2 linked regions of the Cricetulus griseus genome follow. The protein of the gene in region 1 interacts with the protein of each later gene in a biochemical or structural test. Links are inferred from orthologs where the notes say so. Each region holds a gene or a part of one and is shown in the gene's direction. Other genes may lie near its edges.

Region 1 (4,036 bases):
TTTTCTGAGAATACCCCCATCCCCTCCTGCCTCTCTAGACAGATTATCACCATATTACCCTGATTTGCAGGCCTTGGCCATGCTTCGAAACCTGTGCCTCGCTATTGCTTACTCAGGACCCTATGGTACTCCCGTCTGCTAAGTCCCCCTGGAAGGGACTGGGCGGGGAGTGGGGGGGGGGAGGGGACAGAGCTCTGTCCTGACAGACTATACACACTCTGTGCATCTGGCCCTACAACAAAGATGGCCCTGTGTCCAAAGGGATGAAAGTTGGGAAGACACCCAGTTTTCCCTGGCTTCCTTCAGGCAGGGACACCGCCAGGACTACACTGTAAAGCAGAGTGGGGCTGAGTTCCCTCCATGTCCTGGAGTGGTGGGCACCCACGGCGGGGGTCATACCGACGAGCTCCAGTCAGACATACAGACTCAGAGGGCACAAGGTCAGCCAGGTCCACTAGGCAAGAAGGAGTGGCAGAAGAGAATCCAGCATGGGGGCAGCAGACAAGAGCTTTGCACAGCTCCCTCCTGCCCATCCTGCACCTGGCGTCAAGCAGATCGGCCAAGTGGAAGGCATTGGCCACGCATATTTGTTTTGCTGTGGGTTGGGCACTGACCCTGAAGTGTTTGACAAACTGTTCTGCTGTTTGCTGAGGCCCTGTGGCTGATCCCTTTCCCCGTCCAGCCTGAGGTGGGCCCAGGAGGTAGCTCATGCTGTTCTCTTTCTCGTTAGGTGAAGGGCCGGATGCGAGGCAGGGAGCCGGAGCAGCCTGAGGCAGGGGGGCCTCGGGAAGCGCTGGGCCCTCCAGCCGTGCTTAGAAGCATCGCCACAGCAACCAGCAACCAGACAGCAGTGGCCTGGGCAGACACTGCCTAGGCAGACGCAAGCGGACAGCTACTACGGGGAATGACTACGGCAAATCAGGCCACACCGCTGACAAGGGAGGTGGAGTGTCACTAGAGGGGAGGGTGTGGTCTCTGCCCCACTGCACTGAGCACCATGCCCACAGGAGAAGAGGTGCTAGGGCAGGGATTGCAGTGTGACGCTGCTGCCTGGGCCTTGCCCCCAAGCCAGTGCTGAGCACGCCCCAGTCAGCTGTCTTCTCTCGGCTGCCTGTGTCACGCCAGCCCACACCTCAGCATCCCTCACGGTGACCGTTCTGTCTGTTGGCAAAAGGGGGAGAGGCACCCATCCTGTGCTCTGTTTCGGGGAGGGGGTGGGCCTCCTGCTGCCGGACCATGGGATGTCGGCAAAGCTCAGAGGAGAAAGAGGCAGCACGGCGGTCCCGAAGAATTGACCGCCACCTGCGCTCAGAAAGCCAGCGGCAGCGCCGCGAGATCAAACTTCTCCTGCTGGGCACCAGCAACTCGGGCAAGAGCACCATCGTCAAGCAGATGAAGATCATCCACAGTGGCGGTTTTAACCTGGATGCCTGCAAGGAGTACAAGCCCCTCATCATCTACAACGCCATCGACTCGCTGACCCGCATCATTCGGGCCCTCGCGGCCCTTAAGATCGATTTCCACAACCCGGACCGCGCCTATGATGCCGTGCAGCTCTTTGCGCTGACGGGCCCAGCAGAGAGCAAGGGTGAGATTACACCCGAGCTGCTGGGCGTCATGAGACGACTGTGGGCCGACCCTGGGGCTCAGGCCTGCTTTGGCCGCTCGAGTGAGTACCACCTGGAGGACAATGCAGCCTACTACCTGAATGACCTGGAGCGCATCGCCGCACCTGACTACATCCCCACGGTGGAGGACATCCTACGCTCCCGGGACATGACCACGGGCATTGTGGAAAACAAGTTCACCTTCAAGGAGCTTACCTTCAAGATGGTGGACGTGGGCGGGCAGAGGTCAGAGCGCAAAAAATGGATCCACTGCTTTGAAGGCGTCACGGCCATCATCTTCTGTGTGGAGCTCAGTGGCTATGACCTGAAGCTCTATGAGGATAACCAGACGGTGAGTAGAGCCTAGGTTCCTACTGTTGGTTCCGGGGAAGCAGGTGGACTCGTGTGAGCAAAGAGAGGCTTCGGTCAGAACTGGTCCTCAGGGCGAGCGTGCCCCCACGTTCTGTGCCCAGGGGAGTGTGCTGTGGAGCACGGTGAGTGTACTGATGCCACAAGGCCTCAATGGGCACTTCTGTCAAGTTGTGAACCCCAGTGGACAGGATCATGCCGGTGCCCCATGAGACCTCAGCTTCCCATGACTCCTCCAGTCTGAGGGACATCACTTTGACTTAGATGACACTTAACAAGTAACACCACACCCCTAGGCTCCACAGGGCTCACACCAGGCAGGGCCCCCACCTTTATCGGCTCTGACTGCCCTCCCCCAAGCTAGAGATGGAACTTTGGAACTTCCCTTGTAGTGCTTGGCTCCGCTGTCCAGGTTTCCAGGTCACCCTAGTCTCGGTTCAGTGACTAGATTGTGCCCATGCCTTGCACAGAGGACATGGAAGGCTTTGAGGCCTGGACGGGCGTCACTGGTAACCAACGTGCTCAGATCCAACTGAGGCAGAAGGTTAGATGCCCAAGTTGCAGACACCCTCCCCAGGAATAGCAGTAGTGGAAGCCTGCTTGTCAGACGGATGGTAGCTCTGGACTGTCTTCCTCAGTATACCTATTGTACCAGGCAGGAACACTAGACAAAAACCCAGGACCTCCCTTTACAGCTCAGGCCCCGGGAACTGGAGAGCAAAAGTCCTCTAAGAATCTGAGCAGGATTGTGGATGCCTAGATCTGTAGTAACCTAGAGGAAGGTATTGATGCCAGTGGGGAACCTGTGGAAATGTCACCTCCATCATGCTATGGAGACAAGGATCCAGCCTTTCCACTTTGGAGCACTGGTCTCTAGGGCCAATGACAAGGATGGGGCTTCTTTCTTCATCTGGTCTTGTTGAGGCAAGCAATGACTATTCTTTGAGTTCCCCCAAGGACTCTAACTTTGGGCCTGTGCCCCCCCCCAAGGTATGTGTGGAAGGCTGAAGGCTCTGACCACATCTCTGGATGTCTGAGTATTCTGGACATAGAGAGAGCCTGTAGCCTGGTCAGCAACCATGAAGACAGGAGGCAGGGCTCTCTTCACCATCCCTCCAGCATCCGGGTATCCTGGGATCTGTGCCAGATATTGATACTATTCCCAATGAGTGAGGTGATAAGCTTGTAGATGTAGGTGGCCCTGTTGCCACCTGTTGTCTACTTCGTGCCCAGGCTGTGTCTGTCTATGAGTGAGCCATCTTCAGGGTTCTTGCCCATCCAACTTTGTCGGCTGTTCCCACTCTAGCAACACGTGTGGTTCTAACTAGAAGTGGCATCCTATCAGAGAGAGGCATGACCTGAGGCCAGAGTTTGGGGTTGACCCAGATGTCAACGCAAAGCACAGTGCCTGGGGTTGGTTGTGGGAACAGAATGTTGGAAGGTTGGCCGGCCATCACGGCTCTCTATAATTCTCTACACTCCTGTATTGTGAGATTGATGTCGAGCTGTAAGGTTAAGATACCTTTATTCAGATAAGCACCAGCCAAACGCAAGCCAGAGTGTGCCCAGAGGCAGCAAGCTAGGGAGGCCAGAGAGAGGGACTCCCACGTGTCTGCCACCCCCTTAAGAACTCCCCACGAGTCATCCTGAACCTCCCCTGACCACGCCCTGGCAGGCGTAGTCAAGCACACCTGTACCTAGCTCCTAGGAGGCAAGGCTACAATGTCTCCCTACACTCCTGCTGGCAAGAAACTGCTCGAACAGGCCTTTCGAGCCTGGATCTGATGGGCCTCATCTACCATCTCCAGTGGAAGCCTGGCAGATTCCCCCAGGACCAAGCTCCCAATCCCATCTCTTACAGACTGTGCCCATAAGTGTACCTGGATCCATAGGCAGGATGCTTGGTTCCCAAGTTTCATGACCACCTCTTCCTTCAGAATCTGTCATCAAAAAGTAGCCCCAAGCTTTCCCGGCTCTGCCTGGCCTTTACCCACCACTGTATTGCCGCCCTTCTCTGCTTGTGCTGTCTGTGGCTTCTTCTGCTTGCAATGCCTCTCTGT
Region 2 (4,048 bases), on another chromosome or scaffold:
AGTTCTCGGAGCTTACAGATCCGAGGTTTTCCTGTTCCGAAAAAAAGGAAAGTTCTATTGTGTGTGTTACACAAAGAACATCAAAGACTTTTCATAATTTCTCATGGTGTCTATAAAATCCATTAATAAAAACAAAATGATGCCACCTACTCAAATTAACCTTTAGTGAACAGAGAGAAGAAAGTACTTGAATGCCAACAAGCTAACTGCTTATGTACATTTCACTATCAATAAAAGACTAAAAGGCACTATGGTCTGTAATCCCAAAAGACATGCGTCATGAACAAACACAAAACGCATGTATATTTGCTGGGCATTGGTGGCACATGCCTTTAATCCCAGCACTCTGGAGGCAGAGGAAGGTGGATCTCTGTGAGTTTGAGGCTACCCTGTTCCCCAGATCAAGTTCCAGGACAGCCATGGGCTCTGTAGCCATGGTTTTAATCAACTATAGGCTGAAAATGTTCCTGAAAATGTATGGCTTGGGGCTAGAGAGATGGCTTAATAGTTAAGAGTGTTTGCTGCTCTTCCAGAGGATGCAAGTGCAATGCCCAGCACACACATCCAATGGCTCACAACCACCAATACCTCCCACTCTGGGAGGATCAGATGTCTATGGCCACAATGGGTACAAACAGAGGTGCACACCCACATGCAAACAAACATACACACTCATAATTAAAAACAGTAAATTTAAAAAAAAAAAACTTTTTCTACTTTCTATACTTGAGCCACTTGCAGATGTATCCAAGTTTCACTTTATGGCATGTCTCTGTATTGAGGTTCCTCCCTGTACCAACACAATCACTGAGCAGCAGCAGCATTGATTTCATGGAGGCTTTAGTTTCAGAAAGGCACAAAGGCATGAGGCAAAAATCAGAAGAGTACCGTGAGCAGATGGGGGGCCTCCTCACAGGTCCCTTCAGATGGCATTTACAACACATTCCCTTGCCTTTTGTTCAGCCCAGTGGCTTATAAAGAAAACTTACTTACTCACCTATAGAGGGCAGTAGTGACATATGCACCCGGTGAGCAGTTCTACCTGGAATAAAAAGCTAAGATAAGTGGATAAGCCACTACTGATCCACAGGACGGATCAGCCTTTTGCTTTGCTTAGTGTAACTCTGCAGGAAGCAACCCAGCATATTCAGACATGGCCCAGCATTAGCAAACAGAAGAACAGAGGGGATCCACTAGTGTTGGTAAAACCAGATGACAAGATCCACATGCAGCATTTACTGGGAAAATATGCCCAGCCTTTCCCAAGAAAACCAAGAGTACCTCCAGGAGCATCTTCCCAGGCAGGCTACATGGGCACAGTTGCTGCCTCTGTTCAGAGCAGAGGAAGATTATAATCTCAGTATTCATCAAGTCACAGAAAATAAAGGGGACTCTCAGGCTGGGACTGGTGTCAAGGTAAGATGACCTTCACAATCCCCACCAATGTTGGCAGGGAAAAGGTTAATCCATAAAGAATATAAAACCAGCAGCCAGTTTCAGTATCGTTCTTCACAGTAGATTAGTGAAGATTTATCAAGACTATTTTTGAAACAATCTACAGGAAACCTAAAACTTGAAAATCATCTGGTGTCCAGTTTTCTCCATCCCAAACAGCTTTCCTTCGCCCTTGCTTTTTCGTTAAGTTTGTTCTGTTTAATGGTTTTGTGTGTTTATGCTTGAGACTGAAGCCATGGCCTCGGGCATGCCAAGCAGGGGCTCAACCACTGAGACACATAGCTGCAGCTTTGGCTGTTGGTTTGCTTTTAGGAAATAGTGTTTAAAAGCAGAAAGCCTATATTTAGCTTGTAAAGCTATTGCTATTAGCTCTTGCATATTTTTCTCTGACGTAAATACAATATGCCAGATAATTGTGAAAGAAAAATATAGGTTTCTTTCTAAAAACATTGCTACAGAATAATGATAAATTTCTATAGGGATCTGAATGCTAAAGAACTAAGAGTTGCTGTTTTTTAAATTCCTAAAGTGAATTTCCTGAAGTGTGAGTTTCTGCCATTTGGCCATTTTACTTTCTAGAGTGATAGTTCTCCTATTCAGTGTTGGATGTTTCTCTGCATAATGTACAGTGTAAGACTGCAAATCCTCTTAACTATTTATAGAGGTATCTCTTAAGGGTTACCCGTATGGAGAGGAATGGGCATGTGTCAATGTTGAAGAAATAATTGACAGAGCTCAGGAATAAATGGTACAAAACCAGGCCACAGAAAACCTGTCCAAATACGTGAGGTAGCACTGGAAAACTCAGTAGCTGTCTGTCAGTCATGGTTTATATCCTGATCATTATGTGTCAAGCTCTGCACTTAATTCTCTAGATCTTTCCCCTGATGTTATTTTAACTAGTTAGCACAAACAGAAGAAAGATGAAAAGAAAAGAAAAATAAATGTATTGTGAGCCTTTTTCTGTAGAAATAATTTTACTTTTCTGATGCAGGTGAGAGGTATAAATTTCTGCCACTCCTATCATCATCATCATCATCATCATTGTCAACTAAGCACAAGGGTTTATTTGACTAGCTGGTCATCATCTAACTAGAATATAGAGATAAGTCATGAAGTCAAATAGCAACTGAAGATGACAGATAAATAATACATAGAAAGACTTCCACCAGCATCAACTACAGACAACAGCAAATTAAAACCACAGTGGGACAAAAAAAAATACTATATACCTAGCAGAATGGCTAAAATGAAAAAACACAGCTATACAATATTAATAGACAAAAATCACAATTTTAAATGTGTGCTAATATCAGATGCCACCATCAATGACAAATAATTAGGTGCTGAAATAAATATGGCTTATGGAGTTTTATATAACTAATATTCTAAAATATGTAATTGCCAATATCAGTATGTCTCAGTATTCCCAAGTCTTTGGAACTTATTACAGATTTATTCTTTTTATTAGAGTGAAGATTAAAGTGTAGTCTCAAAACAAAAAAAAATTAGTAGACAAAAAAGAATGCCTGAAAAGCCACAAGGAATCAGACTATTAACTATTTACAAAAGCAAACAAAAATCTCACCAAAACCTATAATGCAGAGAATTCAGTGTATATCTGCATATATAGTTATAATAAAATTGTCTTATCTGGGATGATGGTACTCCCTCCAACAGCCAAAGACCATCTAACAAAAACCCCAATATTAGACATAAGAAGTCCTCTTTTAAGTTGTTGGCCAGAAATGTCTAAGAGACTCCCAAAACACACAGCTTATTGTTGTTGCCCTTGGTTGCCACTACCCCCCAGTGGAGGAAGGTAAGGCCCTATTTCTGAAGACACCATGCAATTCAGAAACAGGGACCAGAGACTCCTGAGCTGGAAGTGATCTGAATGCCCCCTCCCTAAGGACTACTTTTCATGGTACCAAAGGAGGGAACCAACAACAGTCCTACCCAGCTATGCCACCTATGAACCATATCAATAACTAGCATATCACAATAACCCTATAGGTGAAGTAATGATACACATACCTTGGTAGTAACCAACAACTCTATAATTGTACTTAAGACCCACTCGACAAGAAGGATACCATGCCTAGTACTGAAATCTAGCCAACTGCTCAGTGCAAGTGAAGTCATGGATGTTGGAGGAGAATCTACAACTACTAACTTACTAAACCAGCATAAACCCTAACAGCAATCTATAAACCTTTGTCCTTAAACACCCACAGGTAAGTGTAGTTTTCACTCGCCATCAGGGAAACTACTCTTTGCACTAGCTGGAGACTAGTTCAGAAAAGCACAACCAATCAAAGTGCAGAGTTGTGGATCCCAGTCCCAGTAATACAGCTACAATACACTCCTGCACCTAAGGCTCATGGAACATTGTGGAAGAAGGGGCAGAAAGATTGTAAGAGCCAGAAGACCAAGGAATTCATTGTGAGATTATGTCTCTTAGTAATATTAGAAGGTACATCCATAAAATCTCACCAACATCTGAGCTGAACAAGGTTGATACCAACTTACATGCTAAACTGGACAGAGAAAAGCCCATAATACTTCAACCCTAAGTAAAGAACTATAGGCA

The links. The genes of interacting proteins can lie anywhere in the genome.
Region 2: the proteins of Gnaz (region 1) and Rgs20 form a complex in vitro, tested with the Homo sapiens proteins (2 studies listed by BioGRID, with this or other methods). The link is inferred for Cricetulus griseus from reciprocal best matches to the Homo sapiens genes GNAZ and RGS20.

The regions. Positions count from the first base shown.
Region 1 is NW_023276806.1:263,551,303-263,555,338, reverse strand, and holds the start of Gnaz (guanine nucleotide-binding protein G(z) subunit alpha), read left to right. Parts: upstream 1-1,236; coding exon 1,237-1,959; intron 1,960-4,036. UniProt on the Homo sapiens protein: Guanine nucleotide-binding proteins (G proteins) are involved as modulators or transducers in various transmembrane signaling systems.
Region 2 is NC_048595.1:158,268,641-158,272,688, reverse strand, and holds the start of Rgs20 (regulator of G-protein signaling 20), read left to right. Parts: upstream 1-1,248; coding exon 1,249-1,408; coding exon of another isoform or gene 1,409-1,416; intron 1,417-4,048. UniProt on the Homo sapiens protein: Inhibits signal transduction by increasing the GTPase activity of G protein alpha subunits thereby driving them into their inactive GDP-bound form.